Drosophila melanogaster: one gene and its partner. The protein of the gene in region 2 interacts with the protein of the main gene of each other region in a pairwise test. Each region holds a gene or a part of one and is shown on either strand. Other genes may lie near its edges.

Region 1 (10,324 bases), 7.7 Mb from region 2:
TGAAAGAACTGTCAAAATTCTATAGACGTGGGCAATTGTTTTGGAATTCGACAAACTCGTTAAGCTTCCTGAAAACTCAAAACTCATTAGTTGTAGTTAAAATATTGCAATCTGTTTATCAGAGATCTGGAATTATTTCAACGTTCTGTATACTACAAAATGCTATTATTTGGTCGATATAAGAAAGTTTTTACTCTCAAACAGCATGGAATATTTTTTCTAAGTGTTGGGGCGAAGGAGCGTGGGCAACCCAATTTCCAAAGTCAAAAGTGGCACCAGATGACGGCGTGCGTCGTCCGTTTGTTCTGTTCCAAGGAGCGGGCTAGAAAGGGACAGGACGAGAGGTCCTGCTGGAGGAATGAGGGGAGGAGGAGGAAAAGACCGGCCAAAGATGGCATATGTTGCGCCTTGGCTCTATCTCGCTTTGGCCAATGCCCCGCAGTGGGTCCTTTTCGCTGGCTTTCACTCGCACGCCACGCGGCTCGTCCTGCAGACAGCCAGCAACAATAACGATTATTCGGCATTGTGTGAGCAAGACACGCCATTTGGTCGCAGGCGGAAACCTCGATCCTTCAACCTCAAGCATCCCATATTTATATGTACATAGTAGACAACTGCTAGCTAGCTAGCTCCCAGCAGCTAAGAGCGATCCGCTCTTGATTCAGTTACAGTTACCCAAAAGTTCAGCAGTAGCACTTGGAAGCCCACGCAATTAAAGGTGCATCAATCAAAATTAAAGACAATCCGGCAGCGATTTTTAAACGCCATCTAGGCACGTCAGCCGAATTCTGAAAGAAGACGGCCCTTTGATATGCGAATCTTCCGACATGTGTGCATGACAATATCACTTGTGCCAATATGGCTCAAGGTAAAGACTATTAAATTCAAATTAATGCTTAAATCCTGACAAGCAATCGCCAAATATAAACGAACTCCTCTGAATTGTGCTAAAACTCAAACAAAAAGGAATGTGTTCACAATAATAATAGGAAAAATTTTATTTAAAATATTAAAAATGCATAGATTTCTTTAAAAATATATGTAGGATGTTTATTGTTTAGCACAATTGTTTATCTTATTAATATTTTATAGAAGTATAGTTTGCTTATTATATTAGGTATTTAATAAAAAGATGACTCGTGCCAACACTTCTTGATCTCCGGGCATACGACGACTACACAACTTTTCCTTACTCCGGACACGACAACTTTCGGCTTTAAGATCTTTTTTTAATTACACAACCTTCAACTCGCTTTGTTCTACTTCTACTTTAAGCTTGTCCTATTTTCTTACCTTTGCTACCCTTTGCGAAGATTATCGATCATCGCATATCGATAACTATTGTTACATACATATTATTTTGTTTATTAGTACATGTATTAAAATATGGTATTTTTAAAGTTTGGCCAAACGTTTATTTCTATTGATACCATTGGCTGGTAAAAAAGTCTGATAACAAGTTTGGTTCGCGTTAGAACCCATAATTCGTCAGGCAGAAAACTTGTTAAAATGGTGAATCTTGACTTAGAAATGATTTTGGAGACTCTCCTGAACGCGGCGAGGAGGAAAAGGGAAAGGGAACACCTTGAAGGTTCTTCGGAAGGTAAGTTCCGCCAACGGCATATAAACATAAACATAAACATAAACGGTCAACTTACAGAAGGCGAGTATAAAACACTAAACGATTACCTACCTATCATATCAATTGTATTTGAAATGTAGGAGTTATCTACTGGATGTATGAGAAAATTGCGGATTTGACCTTGAGGGTCCTGGCAGAATTGGTTGACTTTGTGAAGGCAGCTATTATAAAAATAGTTGGTGTCGCTACAAATGCTGTGGAGTGTTTCAAGCGTGATTTTACAGTGCAATGTGCCGCATTGGAAGCCTTTGTGGTATTTTTAACCAGTAATTTGGGATTTCAACTGGAAATGTAATTATTCATGCGGTTCAAAAAATTCCATTCCATGCCTGCTAAATCATTGGATGCACTGCCATAAGATTATGATTTCTTTATACTTGGGTTCTGATATCGGGTACTCCTAAAAAAAAGCTTTCAATCTACATATGTACATATGCGAAGCTTGATTGCAATGATAGATTAAAATTGATTTCGATGATTTGGTTTGTATCGAGTAACTCCCCTCCACAGTGGCGGATATACAATTATTGCACTACTGATAACGAAATAACAACGTGATTGTACTCAGTTGTTAGAAAGATCGTCACCGGGAAAGAAGTAAAACTTTGTAACGGAAATATACATAAATTGAAAATATGGATTCAGCCATCTCAGAGATAATCAATGCCCTGGCTATACTGGCCGACGATAAAAATATCCAGTTGACCATCAAGGAGGCCGGCAAGGGAGCTGCAATTTGTGCTGGCGCTGCGCTGATCGGAGGACTACTGCTGGGCCCCCGGGGACTGGCACTGGGCGGGGCCATCGGTGGTCTCACCGCCTACGGACTTACGGAGGGCAAGAGTGTCTAGCGTTACATGGTGACTATCATTCTTATCAGTCTTTTAATTCCAGGAAATTTCAAATCTCTAAGTGAGGTCATTTTGAACGATTTGACGGAGAGTCAGCGTCGAGAACTGGAGCAGCACGTGATCAGGGCCATATCCGAAGTTAGAAATGTACGCGTTCGAGATGTCGCAAGACTAATACTAAATAACCGGCATGTGCAAGAGGTTGCACTCGAAGCAGTCAAGTCCTATATCACTGATCGTATGGGAATGACCATCGTTGATTAGGCATTAATAGAAATATTTTTTAAACTATATTTCTCGATGATTAATGCTATAACACAGAATTTTGCCTGCAACATAAATAAATTGTTGGCGCACTGAATGATTTTATTTTAAAATCTATAGTAAAAACCATTTCAGCTTATAATTTAATAGTCAGTGACTAGCCTTTTCGATGTGCCAGATGTAAAAAGATTGTTTTGCTCAGAGCTCGGCTTTCAATAGACAAGAGTCGCGCGATCTACGTCATCAAAATCCGTCAGATGTCTGGAGGAGCTGAACAGATGTTGGAGTAGGCGGAATTTGTGCAGCTACACTACCAAGGCGATCATCAGCAGGGCAACAACTGTTACAAGCAGTAAAAATAAGATAAAATTCAGAGACTCTTAGTGAAATTGCGGCAAGAGCCGAAATAAAGAGTCGTAGAAATTTCGTTGCTGCACTGTGAACGACGAGAGAGATGTGTGATGCGATGCTTTGGTGTATCTCACGGATGCACAGATACTCGCTTCGGATATTCGCTCAGTGTGCGGTAGGCAGGTCAAAATAATTTTGCTTACTGCGGAAGCGAGAGGAAGAGGAAAAAAACTGGCTGATCTCGATCTCGATCTCCGTCTCTATCTCTTTCTAGGGCCAGCTGTCGCCCATTTGGATCGGATCCGTATGCTACTATATCTTATATCGTGTGGCTGCCACGTGTCGTGGGCAAGTCCATTGGGCAATTGGTCAGTTTAGCCGAACAATGGCCAATTAGTATGCATGCGACTTTGAAAAGTGAACTTGCGATTAGCCACAAAGTTGCCCAATATACATATGTACATATGTATATATATGCAATTACAGAGCAACCTCTCTAAGTCGAATCAAACTGAAATGAGATCTTGATACTAAGTAGTAATTTACTTCACTATTTATTGATCATTTTAAAATGTGTAAATTCCTTGGTTTAACACACGCCTCTTAGCGTTTTATAAGAACATAGTGATTTGAAATTGATTTTATTTCAATTCCAAGCCAGACTTTAAAAAGGCTTCACTGTGCCTGCAAATATGCTGATAGCTGTACCAGATCGACTGCAGCAGCTGTAAAATCAATCAAAAACTTGTCAAATAAATGTCATGCATAAGCAATAAGTGAACAGGATGTGGCGAGTCCTCGGCCCCTGTCATCTTGCGGGTGCATAAATTTGCCATTGGCTGTTTTTGCCTGGGTTCTCTCTTAGGACTATTGCTTACGGGAAGGGTCGGTCCACTATGATTGCCGGCACTGATCCTGCTCCTCGCGCAGATAGTCGCCGATGTGCTGCACCACCATGGCACTGCACAGCTGAGCCTGCACCACTTGATCCTCGGCGGTCTGGTGGGTCTGCACCAGGATTAGGGATGCATTGTGCATGGATTGGGCCATCCCCAGATTGATTTCCGCCATCGCGTTAATGAAACAGACACTTCCGCCAGCTGAAGCTAGAGGATTAAGCGGGGAAGCCCCCAGCAATTGGCACTTGGCCGGCAAGTGGGCAATCTGCTGTACGAATTCCTGTACTCTGGCCAAAGCCAGTTGACTCTCCAGACGGAAGTCTTCCAAAAGGCTTCCCAAGTCTTCCGTACACCCACCCAGCTGATGGGTCACATTTTCATTGAGCTCATCCAGGCTCCAGGCTGGGTTGCAATCGGGATTGGACACCACTAACTGGTTTGTCTCATAGATCACATCACTTAGTTCGGCCATAGCATTGGCGGTCAGGACCTCAATGTTACCGGCAATATTTTGCCGAGTGCGATTTATTTTCTCCTCCAACTGAATGGAGGTGTCGTCGCTGACACTTACGGCAATCTCTGCCAGATTGTCCACAACCATGGTAACAGGTCCATAGTTTGTAGTCTCTGTCTCCATCTTTGTTTCATAGCCGACTTCTTGGCAGTCCTGAAATAAAGGAGCATATGAATTTGAAAAGTACTATAAATGGAAAGTTACTATTAACTCACTGCCAAAGTCAGCAAAAGCAGAGCAAGTACTCCCAGAGTTTGACTCATCATCTTTCTGTTATATTTCCTAGTGCGACTGGCCCTACACTTGACTTCTTATATATGTCAAGAGATCCAGTGTCACGATAAGAGTGTGTCTCATAGCAATCACTACGAAACACAATTTGAGCATTAACTTGATGAACTGAGATGATGTTTTAGTACATGAACTTGGTATACTATTCAAAGTATTCTATTTGGTCATCGTATTTTTCGTAAATTTTCGTAATTTCTTTTTGTAAATTTCTCACCTTCGTTGAATAATGGAGGGATCAATTATACTTTTATTTGTAAAAGGGGAGATATTTACAGTTCAAGTTTGCTAAAGAAAGCTGAGGTTGATGACTAACTTGAAGCATATAGTCGTTACACAGTCATCATGCGATAAGAATCTTTCTTATAAACATTATAAGACACAAATGAGCCATTTGTCTAATTCAGAACTTAATTTAAGTTTTGTTCGGAACTTAAATACCCTAAAGTTTCATATTGATCACATATGACATGGGTATTTTTAGCAACTTACGCTGTTAAATTTTTCGGTATCCCAATATTTTCTTTATAAACAATAACAATTTTTGTTAAAGCGTTAAAACTCTTTCCCAAAAAAGAATTTAATTCTTAGTCTTAGTTAATTAAGGCAACCTTTGGCGATCTATAAATAAAAGGTATGGTATCTTCAATTTTTCGGGAATCAATTCGATTTAGTTTCAAGATGACAACAGTACGGGTGTCACTGCTTTTACTTCAGTCGCTTCTTTGTGTATGAAATAGCATTATTTGTGTAAAGTATAATATTAAAGAAAAGATCTTACAGGTGCATGGCCACTTTCAAAGAATTTGGGGACAAAATGGACCACTCTATGAGTCCACAAAGCAGCTTATAGCCAGCCAAAGCTCCAGTGCAGCCAGGATCTGGAACGTCACCCAACAGGCCCTCGATCAGAAGTTGGAGTATCTTCAAGAAGCCAAGGACACACTGGATGACCATCAGCAAGTGGTTAGTGGACGCTTGGAGATGTTTTTTGGAAGCCAGTACAGCGATGAGTGGCGGGCATGCTCAAAGAAGTACGAACTCCAGGTGGCACACTTCAATCGAGAGCTGGTGGACAAGTACAGTATCTGCAGGAATTCTCTGGACCACATCATGGATCATTTTCAGGAGGAAATCGTGCTGGAGGCTAATTTTCTGAGTAAGGCTTCGCGGGAGATCAGTGAGTTGTCAAACACCTGCAGAATCTGGCAGCTTAAGCAGTCTGGTTTCAATCACGCCGGAGTTTTATTATGCACTGTCGCTGGAATCGGGAGGATCAATCAGCGGATGATCAGCAGTCTGGAGCTGTGCGATGCAATTGTGCTGGAGATGTCCTTGGAAGACCTGGACACACCAAGTTGCCTCTTCTACCATCATCTGAAGATGGATTTCGATGACCTCTTTACGCAGATTGAGTCGTGTGCGATAAACTAGAAAGAATGTAATAAAGTCAAATGCACTATTAACTGTGGTCTGGTGTCGACTTGAAAATATTAATTACTTACATCAACTTTTACCTAATATTTATGAGCATAGTTATCTTTAATCGTTATCAGTTCGACCATTCATAAAAAGCCAAATAGAAATTTAAATTTTCTCTCGAAAAACATTGCCCCGTGGTGGTTTATATATAGCGTAATATTGGCGATAAGCCGGATAAGCCTAATCAACCTGCGCCACTTAAGAAAAACCAAGTGTGGTATCTTCGATAGTGTTTTACGAGCCATACTTCTTCCGATAATGAAGCTGGTCAAAATCCCTCCCTCAGTTGTACTGAAACAGTTGCCCGGGCAAAATGATTGGAAAAGCATTGCTTCTGCTGGGCTGTGTGCTGCTCTTCGCTTTTGGTGAAGCCAACCAGGAACTGGAGACTCTGCTGCAGAAGCAACAGGTGGACTTGCAGTTGTCTGGCGAGGAAGTGGCTGCTTTGCGTCCACTGTACCTAGAGTTTCAGGCGCAGTACAACTATCTGTACAGCCTGAGGCTCCAGAGCGGCGATGGGAGTGATCAGAATCCCGCGGAGGAGCCTGAACTGGATAGCAACTACCTACGGGCATTTGAAGACTTTCGCGAAAAGTTCTCCATTTACTTGGATGAGAAACCTCGAGTGGTGTATGACACAAAATTGCCCACTGTCGACGAGATCATGGGAAAGCCCAGTCCCGACTTCACACCAAATCAGAGGGCGGAATTCGAGGATCTCAGGGAGATTATTCAGGATGTTATTGACGAGGCACAGTTCGGCATTGACGACTTGGTGGAGAGGGCCATCCAACTGGAGACGAATCTGCTGAAGCTGAACAAACCAAAGATCGTGACCGCAGCCATTGCCGGATTGGGATACATGTGGAACTACTGGGGCCGCGGAAGTCAGGCCGCCTATTGCAGTTACTCGCTGGTCCCAGAGTTCCAGATAGGTCTGCAGGCCATTAACGATGGCGTTGATTGCTACTCCCGCACCATGGCCTTGGTAATGCGCATTCAGAATGAAACAGTGGCCGCTGTGAAGGAGGTTAAACGCAATGTCAGTAGTCTTGTGAAGATTTGCAAGAAGATTGCCGCCAAGCAGACCACCGTTGGCAAAATCCTGTCGGGTACAGTAAACGCTCTCAGTGCGATCCGCCGGCTACACGACATCATCGCTGTCGGAATCGATGTCTACGGCAAAATCAACAACCAGTTGCCGGAGGAGGCCATCCACTCTGCGGAGTGTGGAGTGGTGTTCGTCAACAGCATACCCCAAATGTTGGAAACGGCCCAGAATCTGACCACTTGCATTACCTACGTGAATCCGGATAAGCCCGACTTCGAATTCACGCATCCCGAAGAGGATCGCTATTGGAACACTGGCGCTGATCCTCCGGAAATACCCCATGAAAACGTGGTGGACGATGATGACGATGATACGGACTATCCGGAGTTGGACGACTATGAGGATCACAGATAAGCTTTGGAATTTCACCCATTGATAAGGCAAAGTTTGATAATCGGCACAATAATGTCCAAATAAGAATAAATTGATCGTTGTGATTACAATACAATTATTGAAAGATTGTGATTAAAATAGATCATGGTTTTACAAGAAGTTTTTGTTTTACGAGACTTTTAAACCACAAATTCGTTTGTGAAATCAGCAAACAATATCAATTTAAAGGTGAGTTTTACTTAACATTAAAAGTTCACCCATTATTTTCGTACCGAGGTTCTTATCTTAAAATCGGTAATCGGAAATTTATATTAATTTATTGCACCGAATGAAAAGCGTTTGATATATTTTTAAAATGTACATATATTTAAAATATATTTGGTTAGATATAAAAATAGGTAATTGCATGTTTCGTAAACAAAAAATGTGGATTTAGTGACTACACCTTAGATTTGGATTTTTGATTTTACGCAGATCAATCTGATTCTGCTTCGCAAATGGCTCGTTGAGTATCTCAACTTTACTGCACACGGTCGCTAATTATTAACGTACAAAAAAAGAAATATTGATGAGTTCTGAGAACCTGACATCTTTTGTGCCAACATCTAAATAATTAATTCGGGTTGACCCCAAAATGCACGCGCTTATCTCGTACAACGATTTTATAGATTGCTCCTATGACTAGATTCTGGACTGGAGACTGGGAATCTGACTAGACGTCGCTCTCCTTGAGCTGGCGGACATATTGTTCGCTCAGCGACTTGGGAATCCCTTCGAAATTGATATTCGAAGGTCCAGCAGCCTGCGGCGTGCTCTGCGACTTTGAGACATTTCGTCCTGTGGGACTTGGTGGAGGCTTCTCCGTTCCGAAAGCCTGTGGTATGGCTATGACATCGGCCATTAGGGTTTGCCGACACAGGGCGGATAAGGCGCTACCAGGACTAGGAGGTGGATTCTTGGGCTTTTTGTTGCCCCTTCGTAACTTTGATGTTAAAGTGGCGAATCCCAGTTTACTAGAAATCTTGGCACTTCGGCTCACTGCTCTGGGCAAACTATCGTAGGCACTGGAGTGGCCCACACTTTCCTGATCCGTGGATGTGTCATGATAATGCTGTTGCTGTGCCGCCTCATGGACAGCTGCTCCTCCCCCTGCTCCACCCCTCATGCTGCCCGCACTGATGCTCTTTTGGAGCACCACAGATTCCGTTGCCTTAGTTGGAGTTTGGGGACCCTGGCGGGGAGTAACTGGAGCACTTTGAAGAAACTGCGCCTTGGCCAACTGGAGGCGTATGGCTCTCTCCGAAAGAGGAGTGACTGGACGTTCCGGCGCAAGAATCTGAGGTGGCGGAAACTCGAACTGCTTGGCCTTGGTTGGAGTATTGGGATGTTTACGCTGGATTCGTGGCAGAGTGTTATCTTGTTTATTGGGTAGAGTTAGCGGAACAGGCGACGGTGGCGGAGGATGCACCCGGGAGAAACTGGGTCCTGAGCTAGTCTTGGCTATCTTGTGCTCAATCTTGTTGCTCGCATTTGCACTGTGTGACTTGTGCAAAGAGTTTTTCTTGTAAAGATGAGCTTTCCGAGGCGGAACTGGAGGATTGTTTAACTCCTGATGTTTCTTGGACAATCTCTCGATGCTATCACTAGCCAGTGGCGGTCGCACAAATAGGATTCCCCGCCGGAAGTGTTCGCTACTTTGACATTTCCGGAGTTCTTCTTTGCTGGGCGGTTGTGTTATACGGTCCAAACTAATGGACTTGTACAGATTAAGGGGCTTGAGAGGGCATCTTGACTTCCCAGGTCTGTCCACCTTTTCCGATTTCTCCTCCGTGGGACTGTCCAGCTCCTTTTCTATCACAGCTAGGCCTTCCGCGGCGCTTGGTTTTGGGATAGTAGTGAAGAGTTTCCGTTTGGTCTTCACGAAGACATTGGCATTAGTGTTGTATGTTCGATTGTGTTCCGGCAGAGGAGGAGGAATAAAGGCTCCCAGCTTTGTGGGTGGAGTAACTATTGAGGAAGGAGTGGTTGAAGTGAGAGGAGTGGTGGATGCGGAGGAAGATAAAGATGGATCATGTAAAACGAGGTGCACTGGAGCAGGTGCCACGCACTGACTCTGCTCAATGAGTTCGCCTGGCTTAACCTTCAGTGACCCGTAGACTATGTCTTCTCTGGCAGTAGCCACATCATGTTCATTTGTCGTCGAGCTCAACCGGAAGTCATCATCCAAGGAACGCTGCTTCAGCCGGAAATTCTTGCGGCGCAATCGGCGCGGTGTCTCCAAAACTGAGTGGGTATCCGCATCGCTGCTGTCGCTCTCCGTCTTGCTGTTCTGCCGGGAACCCATTTTTCGCAGTCGCAGCAGTTTTTTCTTAGCAGAAGCACTTGCACTGGTTGCACCATTATTGGCAATCGGATTGGCATTCACGGTGGGCAAACTGGATCGGCACAAAGTGCCCGTTGTGGTGCTAGTCTCCGTTTCATGCTCCATCGGTGAAGCTGCACTAGCACTGTTGTCATCCTGAGCCAATCGATCCCGGCTGGAGTTGTCGCAGGTGGCATAGGCCGAACTGGAGTCCAACTGCTGCCCAT
Region 2 (10,510 bases):
GAAATTCTACCTAAAACCCTCTCTCTTTCGTTTGCCCAGACAAATGGGACAAACAAGCATCGGAAAGGATTTTGGTTTGTGTGTACGTTCGGTGAGTGTCTTATGTACTAGTCTATACTCATTCTTGGTTTTCCGTTTCAAATAGTAACTTACTTGCTGACAACGATGCCGAGGCGGAGAGAAAGGTTCCAGGATCTACGCGTCCAGTGGTTCCATCCGCGGCGGCTGCAGCTGCTGCATTAGCAGCCGAAATGGCCCGCCCATTCCGTATCACATTCGAGACCACTCCGGCTCCAACACCGACGCCCAACTGCGCCTGCCCGGAAGAGGAGGTGGCGTAGCTTAACGGATCGAACCAGGTATCGTTCTGCAAGTGAGTGAAGTGTATGCTGGTTAGGGGGGAGCTCAGAGCAATCATGGCAGTGGGGGCAGCACTCACCTGACCGCGATAATTGGTTATCGGAGCGTAACGTTCCACGGAGCCACTGTTGGGGTATGCGATCCGCTGGAAGGCTGGCAGAGTACCACCGCCCCCGCCGCCACTGTGGCTGCTCCTTGGCGATCCGTAGCCGTCCTCCAAGGAGCTGTTGTGTCCATTGACCGCCGCCGTTGCCGCAGCCACCGCTGCCGCCGTGGCCGCCGAGGAGCTCGAGTGGTGCAGACCCGCTGGCCCCGGACTGCTGCTGCTGGAGTTGTGGTGCTGGTGTTGATTGTGGTGATGTTGCTGCTGCTGCTGCTGCAGTTGCTGCTGCTGGTGTTGCTGATGTTGTTGCTGCTGCTGCTGATGGTGCTGCTGCTGGAGATGGGCTTGTGTTTGGTTGGGGGACTGCATGCCGTACTGAATGCCATTGGCAGTCTGAGTAAGCAACGAGCCAGCATAAACAGAGCTGTAATCAAGGAAAAAAGTTAAAATTATGAATTTGGATGTATGGTTTTATTGCATTGCTTATTCTTTGCAATTATACCTATAACAATAGTTCTTCAGATACATATTATTGTAATTCGAGAAGAACATTTTAACACTTTGTTCTTATTTTGCCCAGAGAAACGAAAACTTTGTACGCGTTTAAAATCGCTGGGCACACATTTGCACGCGTTATGCTGGCGTTTTTAACCGCAACTGCTGCTGTTATTGCCTCTGTAGAATCTCACTGTTACTGTTGGGAATACGAGGCGCTATTAACATTTCCTGCGTTTTGTTTACTTTACAGTAATGAGTTGGTTTTGCTCGGGACGGACGGACCACCAGCGTCCAATTTTTGGCATGTTTGCAGTTGAGCCAGCGAGGGTGTGGCCATAAAACTTTTAATTAAAGAATAAAAGTGTTTGCAGAGTTGTTTACCCCCGCAAAATAAAAACGTACGTAGACGTTTGTTTGTTAGCCTTAGCCAACAGTAGCCTGTGCAAATATTTTTGCCAAGACCCGGAAAGACATTCCATAAACAATAACAACTAATTGCTGCGTAAGCAAAACTTTCGTAAGTCCAACGATCTCAAAGAGACTAGGGATCAAGGATCGAAGTTTTGGAGCTTTCGTTTTCACAGGTGCACACTTATTACGCGCTGGACAGAGAAGGATCCTTCTTAGAAATTCAATCGAACTGATCGGCACAATCAGTATTTGCTTTTTGTTGAAGAATACAACTATCTATTTATTTTCAAACGGCAGCAATGGAAGGAAACTCGCGAAAGTGTTCAGCTCAGCATTGGCGTTTTCATTTTCGTTTTGATTTATTTGTGTTTTAGTTTTCAGTTTTATTTCGGGCCGAGTTCTCTGGATGACGAGATGGAGGTGGAGATGGAGATGGAGACGGAGACCGCGACCGAGAAGAAAGCACAACCGAATCGGGGCACGCGCGTTTGCATAATGACTTGAGTCGGGTTTAGTTTTATGCCAATGCAGTTGCAGTTGCAGTTGTCGCTGCTGCTGCGGCTGCTGCTGCTGCTGCAACTGTGATTGCTATTGTTGTTGCCGTGAGTGTTGGCCCAAAGTAATCCAAGTCACTACTCACACACACACACACACACACACAATGTGATCAAGTGACTAAAGAATAAAGTTAACCGAAAAAAATCGCATATCTGCGTATGAATGTATTCAATTATCAAACAAACGGCTTGCAAATAATTGACTCTTTGTTGCCAGAATTTATACGACCAAGTCTTGCAGCTAGATGCGCACGCTCTCTGATAACAGCGGTAACCGTATTTCCAGCCCGAGATGCCCCACAGCTACAGCCAAGCTATAATATATAGCTGCATATATAGGAAGTCTGAGTGACAAGAAAAAGTGCACGACAACGATATAACTTTATCGCCGCTGCGCGGTTCACTTCTGTTGTTTGTCGCAGGTGAGTATTTTGCGTCGACTTCTTGTTTTTCACATACTTATGAGTGTGTATGCATGGCAAAAATGGCATGTGAGCTGGCCAGCAGCGTGATATCTTCTTCTGGTTTCTCACTGCCACAAAAGCGAAACTGGCCAAAAAGTCACATACGAAGTGCTGGCCACATCAGCGTCACCATCACCATCCGGCACCAGATGACGTTATGTTACCACATATATGTACAAGTGTATATTTCCGTCATACGAAAGATACTTTTCCATAACTCTAATTTCACCCAATTGCGTTTCTAACATGTTTGACTTCTAAAAATCTAACATTTTGGTCTGTTCCTCACATGACTTCATATATACTTCAACTGAATGTGCATTCATGCCTGTTTCCATATGCATATGCAAAACACGTTTTCAATTTAAATAATAACATAGGGAAAACAAACGAAAAAAGCTAAAAGTATAGATGCGAATTACCAGAAAATAGTCGAGTAAAACGCGATCGGCAATGTGCGGGTGCGTTGGGTCCGCTGCCTCCCACCGATGTATTTATAATTTCCCGCCGTACCTAACGTAACGCTGCTGCTCCGCTTGCCACTCTCCTTAACCCTTCATGGTGCACTGCAACTTGGGGGTTGCTGAGTCAGCAGAGGCAGCCCTGAACACAAAAAAAAAATAGACACTTACGAAGCATTTGAGGCTGTTTCTGTTTCTGTGGGCTCCAGTTTGGGTTTCGTTCGGGGGTTTCTATGTCACGGGATGGCTTTGGGTTACCCCGGCTCCCAAACAGTCACACACTCGAAAGGTATCCTCTCACCGAAAGCAATAGAGCTTGCAACCCGAGCACCCAAAACAAGCTAGAAAAATGCGCTACAATGGCAATTTGCCTTTACTGTTTTTTTTTTTTTTGGTTTTGGCTCTGAAGAGTCGCCGCGAGTTTCGACTGTTCAATCAAATGCGGGTCGCGCCCCCTTTTTTGTTTGGCTTTTAGGAGCTAGCTTGCCACAGTCTGTGGCACGTGCTGGTTTTAGGCCAAATGTGGCAGCAACCTGGACACGTGCAACACTAGCTCACGCATGCTGGTCGGAAAAACTAACAAAGAAACTAAGTGAACCATTTAGATTTCCTGCATCTGGTGGGGAAGTCGGTGCTGCCCGGACTAGGATCCAAAGGGGAAAACTCATGAGTCAGACAAGCCATGCGTCAATAATTAAGACATTGCATATTCTTGTTTACGAAATTCGAGCGGCAATTTGTGTATATTCTGCTGAGTTCGAGTTTGCAGATGATTTCACAGAGGCGACGCTATAAAATGCCAAGTGCAAAGCCTCTTTATTTGTTGTCTCACATTGTTTACTTTGATCGTGGACAAGGTTAGTTTTCCTAATAGAAGCCGAACAATATTCCTAAATAATCGGAAAGATGACAAGATTTATGTTAAATGGAGTATGTTAAAATAATAATCAATCCCTGAACTTTATATAAATAAACTTTAAGTAGCATCTCTGAAGGTAAAAGTAACATTCTTGAATATTAAATAAAATTTCCTAAGATCGGCAGGACGAATATTTTGTCGAAAAATTTTCTATACGTTAAGCTACTTTTCTAAACCAAAAGTCCTGCCCCACTGACTTTGCTCCCACGCAGGGCGTCATGCGTGGAATGCTCCTCATATGAGACATCTGCGGAGGCTTCACAACTGTGTTTTGTTTATGTTTTTGTTGTCCCGCTGGAAACACATTCTTGGAGCAGAACTAACTTGGTGGCTAGATGAAAGTGGAACAGATTTTCGCATTCCGCATATTGAGTAAACCACCTGGGAATGCCATAACGCCATAACCATAACCGACTGTATTTGGGTATGGATTTGGGATTGCGAGAGACGGTGGAAAAGAGGAGACCGAAGTCCGAGCTTTGGAACCAATACCCACAATGGGCGCTTCTGTTCGGTTCGTCACTCCGCCCGAGCAAATCGCGCCAAGGCGGGAGAAATATGAATCAGCCGGCGCGGTTCTCTGTTAGGTGATCGCTGATCGCTGATCGGAGCTCCGATCATGACTTTTAACGGTGTCGCCAAGCGGTCGAAAGGCACGTGCGCTCGCCCGCTTCGTGATAGTGAGCTCATTACAGTGCTCCGCGGCAAGACTCACCTGTTCTGCAAGCTGCTGCCGAGCTGGGCGGCCGCAAAGTAGGCGTCATTCTCCGGCGAGAGGCTATCACGCTGGGTGGCGCTGGTCAGCTGGGTGAAGCTCTGCAGGGTGGACAGTGCGTGCGAGGACGACGGGGAGTCCCCGCCCGCCGAACTGGTGGAGTTGTTGTGGTGGTGATGATGTTGTTGCTGCTGCTGCTGCTGCTGTTGCTGGTGGTAAAGTTGTTGCTGCTGCTGCTGATGGTGATGCAGTTGCTGCTGGTGATGGTGCTGCTGCTGGTGGAGTTGCTCGTGGGTGAGGGCATAGGGACTGGAGTCCTTTAGCGTATGCATATCGGACACGGAGGTCAGCACATGGTAATCGGTGCTGTGGCCATCCTCGAAGCACTCGTCCTTCAGCGTGTCCTGGATGACCTCGTCTATGTTGGGTGTGGTGCCCTGGGCCACTGCTGCTGCCGCTGCCGCCGCCGCTGCCAAATGCTCGTGGCTAGTCATGCCCACGCCCACTCCGCCACCGCCTCCGGTGTAGACGCTGTAGAACGCAAAGTTGTTCCGCATTATGGGATCCGTGCTGGGGTAGTGCTCGTAGAGCTGGGTAGGCGTATGATGGCTGGGCGGATAGGAGAACTGCCCGAAGAGGTGGGGATGCGATGCTGCTGCCGCTGCCGCCGCTGCTGCTGCCGCTGATCCGCTGGTCAGGTCATAGGCCAGCCAACTGGCCTGGTGTTGCTCCTGCACCACCTGCTGATGCTGTTGCTGCTGCGCCTGCTGATGCTGTTCCTGCTGATGGTGGCTTATTAATTGCTGGCTGAGAAACTGTTGCTGTTGCTCGTAGATCTGGGCTTGTTGCTGCTGCTGTTGCTGTTGATCCTCAGACTGATGGTAGCTTATCACTTTTGTTTTAACACTTTCACTCGCGTCGTTCTGCGCTTTACTATTATTATTATTATTGTTAGTATTTATCGCACTTGGATCGTCATCGATCGCTGCTTCAGATGTTGCTGCTGTGTCGCTTGCTGTTGCGGTTGCTATTTCTGTTGCTGCTGTAACTGTTGATGTTGATGTTGCCGACGCGTTTGCTGTGGTAACCGCTTGCCTTGCTGTTTCGCTGACAACTGAAGTGAGAGCCTGCGAGCGAGCGGACTCAAGTGACGATAAATTCGCTGCGGCGGCCGTTGCTGCCGCAGTCGGCGTCGCTGCTTCTCCGTTCTCCGTTTCGATCGCTATTTCCGTCTCATTCGCTGCTGCATTTGATCCTGTTGCTCCCGCTGTTGTTGTTGCCGCTAAGGCTGATGCTGTTGTTGTAGCTGCTAATGCTGTCGCCGCTCGTCCTGCCTGCCGCTTGTTGTTGTTGGACTTGGCCGTGCGGATCTTACTGTCCGCCGCATTCGAAAGCAGACTACCGCCGCCCGCCTTGGTCACCGAACCCAATCCCGATCCCGACCCTATAACCGCCCCTCCCGCCGCTGCCTTCTCCTTGGGCTTTGTCGTTTTCGTCATGATTCCGGCGCTCCACACGATTATCCGGATTCTCCGCCGCAATCCACGTACGTGTCCGTATCCGGCGCGATTTTCACAGAAACTGATTTGATTTGAGCGGCTTGCGGTTCGAACTTCGAAATACGGAACAGCAAAGCAACACGAAAAAATAAAGCTCGTTAAAAATGTTTTTTTTAGAAAACCAAATCGAGAACAAATCTCATCGAGCATCCTCTCTCCCTCTCGCCATCTCTGTCCATTGATTACAGTTGCGTTTGCTTAGCACTTTGCTCTACATGCCGTTACACGAGCGCCACTCGTAATCGTAATCGCATGTTGGTGCACAGAAATAAAAATGACGATCATCTTAATTTCTATCCTTGTCCTAAGATCACTATTTATTAAGTTAAGTTTGGTTTATCTAAAGAAATAAATAAATACATATAGTAAATGTAGTAAACATGTAGTAAATCTATTCATTTATTTCTTTGGATAAAGCAAACTTAAGATAAAATATATAATAATAATACATTGAAATATATAATAAAATATAAAAATATAATATGACTAATAAACGGAATAGGAAATTAGATCTTTTATTTCATAAATTATATATACACATTAAATATACATTAAATACACATATGACTAAATTTATGACATAGTTTTTAGATTTTCAAGATTTCAACAAGGATCAAATTCATTTCGAAAACATGAATATTTTCGTCTCGTGTACAGCTTTAAATATTTCGAAATATTCGATGCGAGCTCCACGCTCCCGCACTCGCCTACTCACTCTTTCTCTTTTTGTGGATCCCTCTCTTTGGCTCCTCTCTTCCTTCGCTTACTATTCGCTTGTGCTTGCGCCTAATGCCTGCCTTATCGCACTTACTGCCTCCGCTTTGTGCTGCGTTGCTCCGCCTCTCACTACATCAGCAGCAACAACAGGCGCGGAAAGTTGAAGAAGGGGTGGGTGGGGGCAGGCCGAGGTAGAGGCCATGCCGGAACGTGTTGTTGTTGTAGCTGGGGCGGCCTCTACTGTTGCTCGATTGGTGTTGTTGTGGTCGCTGTTATTGTGGTTGGTTGACTGTCGACTACCAGCGACCGCAAAAAAGTACACACAAAATCTGGAAATTAAATGAAAAAACAATCCATGTATATTAAGAAACGTTTAAAATGTAAGCTAAGTTTAAAGGAATTTGAAAAATGTAACATTTCTTACTGAAAATTTCTATTTAAATGAATATTTGAAATGTAGAAGTATAAAGCAACAATGAAGTTTAATTAAAAATATAGTAAACATTTTCAAAAACAGAATCATTAACATATATGCATAATACCAACGGTCTAATTTGTACGGATTCGAATTATTAACAGCATAGATTAAAAATTTTGTATATGAATATGAACATGAATATAAAAATAAACAAAGAAAATATATGTTTATATAGTTTTAAGAAAATCAAAAACGTTAAAACAGTAATTAAAATAAGATACATTTATAAAAGGTACTCAATATGTAAGGCTAAATGTTCTGATTGCGTTTTGGGCAAACCCAATAATTTCATTAAACTTCAAATATAATAGCATACCAGAATTAAAAAAAACTCCCTTCACTTTAGCCCATTACTTTCGTCTCAATACTCTTCACGGTTAGTTCTTCAATTCAATCGTGAAATTTACGCATAAATCAGAACGCCTTCTGAGAGACCCAATATGAAATTTCTCAAAATTTTCAAATTACCATGCGCATAGGACTGGGGCTCCAGGATCCAGATCCAGACACATTCATGCCTATCGCGAGGACGAGAACATTAAAATCCAACCGAGACGCGTGTAGAATTTCAGGACAAATCTCGTGGCGCGACAAGTGAACGTGAGAAAAATGATGGGGAAAGACTTTCCCCAGGAGTCCGTCTGCATTTGGCCCATGCAAATTCCCGAGACGTCGCGCCAAAATACATAAAAACAATGCACTTGAGCTCCGTTCCAATGGCTGATTAAAAAATTGTTACATTTGAACCAGGACGAGTCGTAAAACGATTTTCGAGTGGGATCTTGGGAGGCTCGGGCGGTATTTTTATGGCATTTTTATCGTCATTTGAATAGGCGGCACCAACGATCTGTTTGGACATTTTGGGAACATTTTAACGATCGTTGATCAATTGGTGTACATAGTGGGCGACACACACAAGTGCTTCGCTTCCAAAACCAAAACCAGAACCAGAATCGAATTCGATTTTGAATGCTGCATAGAACGCCGAATACAGGCGACATGCGCACTCGTACATAGACATAAATCGCTTAACCTTTGTCGGTATTAAAATCACATAAGTGTACGTTATTAAATATACGAAAAATCGAAAATGTTGATAAGGTGTTCTTGGCATCGCTGCGAAGTCGTGCTGAAGTGGGGAACTAGACCGGACCTTTCCCTAGACACATGGGGACTAAGGTTGACGCCTCTCCGCGATCGCCTCATTTATTCATATTTATATATTTTTCAAATAATTTATTCACATGTTTTTCTGTTCGCCTTCGGTTGGCCCAACACTCTCGATCGGAATCGGACGAATTTCAATTTTACTACGAAAGCAAAAACAAGTATTTCGAAATGTTCAATTCGAGCTCATTGGCTGCATGTGCCTGGGATCCATAATGGAACTTTAACCTTGAAATTATTAAATGCCAACTTTGAAACACTGGCACTGACGTCACATGGGGGATCAACTCAATATAGCATGCGATTCGCGCATGTCTAGAACCTAAATTAGCCAATTAATTGCATTTGAAACCAGAAAATGTTTAAACATGTTCGTTTCAACATAGATCACTAATAAAATAAATATGCATTCCATGTAGTCTCCTTTAAAGCGAGTTAGAAAAGATCAGCTGTAGTTTAAAGTCAACTAAACGTGTTTACTATCTGGATCTTGTATAAAGAAGCTATTACACACTTGTGACTTTCTCACACTTTAATTCAGTATTTACCTAGCCGAGCTCCCCATCCGATTTGACCCTCTTTTGCCTGTGACCCCAAGCTGGCAATGTTATGCTTAGTTAGGTCTGATAAGTCGGGCTTCTATAAACGAAATGCATTGAGTACACATGCAAATAACGGTAGGCGGCCTTAAAGCCACTAGACTATGGTGAAGAACTACGCATTTAAATGTGAGTCAGGGCTGAGTGCCCCGCCCTTCGAAAAGATCCGCAGATCGGACAATTCAGATGAGTGTGTGGGGGATTCGGAGGAGCATGTGCAGTGTCAACAAACATGAGGATCTTGCTCCAGAGCGATCTCCCGAAACGATAAATCACTAGGAGATGCTATGCTAATGATGTGATTTATTACAAGTCCTTGGGAAAGGATAATCTTGTGGGTCTGCGGGCTAGGAGGTGCCCTTTTTCACACTCGATCTCCGATTGTCAATGGGCCGTGGCACAGCTCTCTGATTTTTGTTGGCGGAGGGGGGGAGGTTACCTATCGAATAGCCATTGTTTATGGCGAAAAGTCGTTTAATAAGTTTTGTACGATACATTGGGACATTAGTAAATCCACTGAGGTCCAATTCAAACAGAACATTCTTATTTGTATATCCCACGAGACCAAAGTGAAACGCACACGTACTCACGAAATCCAGGGTTTAATGCCACTAAGTTTGGCTTCAAACTATTTTGACATATTTATGGTGGCCGAAAATGGGTTACCCGGGGCAGGTTCCCCGCTCCACTCCCCTCAAACAAGTGTCAAGCGTGGCGAGTGTCTCACATATCAGGACGATGTACGATGATCGTTCATAGTCTCGGTGCCGATGTATTTATGCATTTTTAATATTTTCGTGTACATCGCGGCCATAAATATTGCGCTGGTAATCCAATACGCCACGGATCCATTTCATGAAGAGCTCTTTGTTGAGTGCTGAGTGTTCGCCTATCTTTTGGATACAAGTCGTTTGACTCCTTAAGCGCCAATTATCTGCATCGTTATGTGGTAGGCATTCAAATAAAACTCCTACAATAAACCGGCCAGATCCGATTCAAGTGGCCTGCGGCCTGCCACAAAGTTGTGCTCTTATCAAACCCATTTAATGGCCATTGAGAACATGTCTTTAACACTCTTTTAATGCAACAATAAGCGACTCAATTGTTTCGGGTTATCTTCCGATGCTGTGCGGAGATACAAGAATGGGAAAACTAACGATTTTGTCACATTTGATCAAATTAAGTTCAAAGATTTCTTAAAGTCAAGGATTAAAATTAACATTTTAAGGAATTATTAAACTAGTTTTTAGTAATATCTAAAAAAACACTGTTTTTTCAATGATAGTGTCCATTGGTATACAAACATATGAAAAAAAAGATTTTTCTGTTGCCCACATGTCAGTGTTAACAATCTTAGTAATTTTCCAATTTTATGCAAATACAATTTACATGGCATACTTATCCAATTTGTAGAATCAACACTGGCGCATGTGACGTTGAATTAAATAAGTAAACACATCATTAGGTAATATGGTCAAGCGGCTTTGCTTGGAACAATCCCC

What was found.
Region 1: the proteins of srp (region 2) and CG11672 interact in a two-hybrid assay, tested with the Drosophila melanogaster proteins (one large-scale study listed by BioGRID).

Annotation. Positions count from the first base shown.
Region 1 is NT_033777.3:8,285,762-8,296,085, forward strand, and holds CG11672 (uncharacterized protein), read right to left. Parts: upstream 4,818-10,324; 5' UTR 4,788-4,817; coding exon 4,737-4,787; intron 4,675-4,736; coding exon 4,003-4,674; 3' UTR 3,634-4,002; downstream 1-3,633. Other genes in the region: nazo, read left to right, coding at 2,278-2,479, 2,537-2,757; CG31464 (uncharacterized protein), read left to right, coding at 5,491-5,538, 5,593-6,243; CG31463 (uncharacterized protein), read left to right, coding at 6,605-7,756; CG9626 (uncharacterized protein), read right to left, coding at 8,448-10,324.
Region 2 is NT_033777.3:15,989,703-16,000,212, reverse strand, and holds the start of srp (serpent), read right to left. Parts: upstream 6,074-10,510; 5' UTR 5,988-6,073; coding exon 4,489-5,987; intron 1,125-4,488; exon of another isoform or gene 1,016-1,124; coding exon of another isoform or gene 966-1,015; intron 888-965; coding exon 440-887; intron 368-439; coding exon 154-367; intron 1-153. UniProt on the Drosophila melanogaster protein: May function as a transcriptional activator protein and may play a key role in the organogenesis of the fat body. Binds a sequence element (5'-[TA]GATAA-3') found in the larval promoters of all known alcohol dehydrogenase (ADH) genes.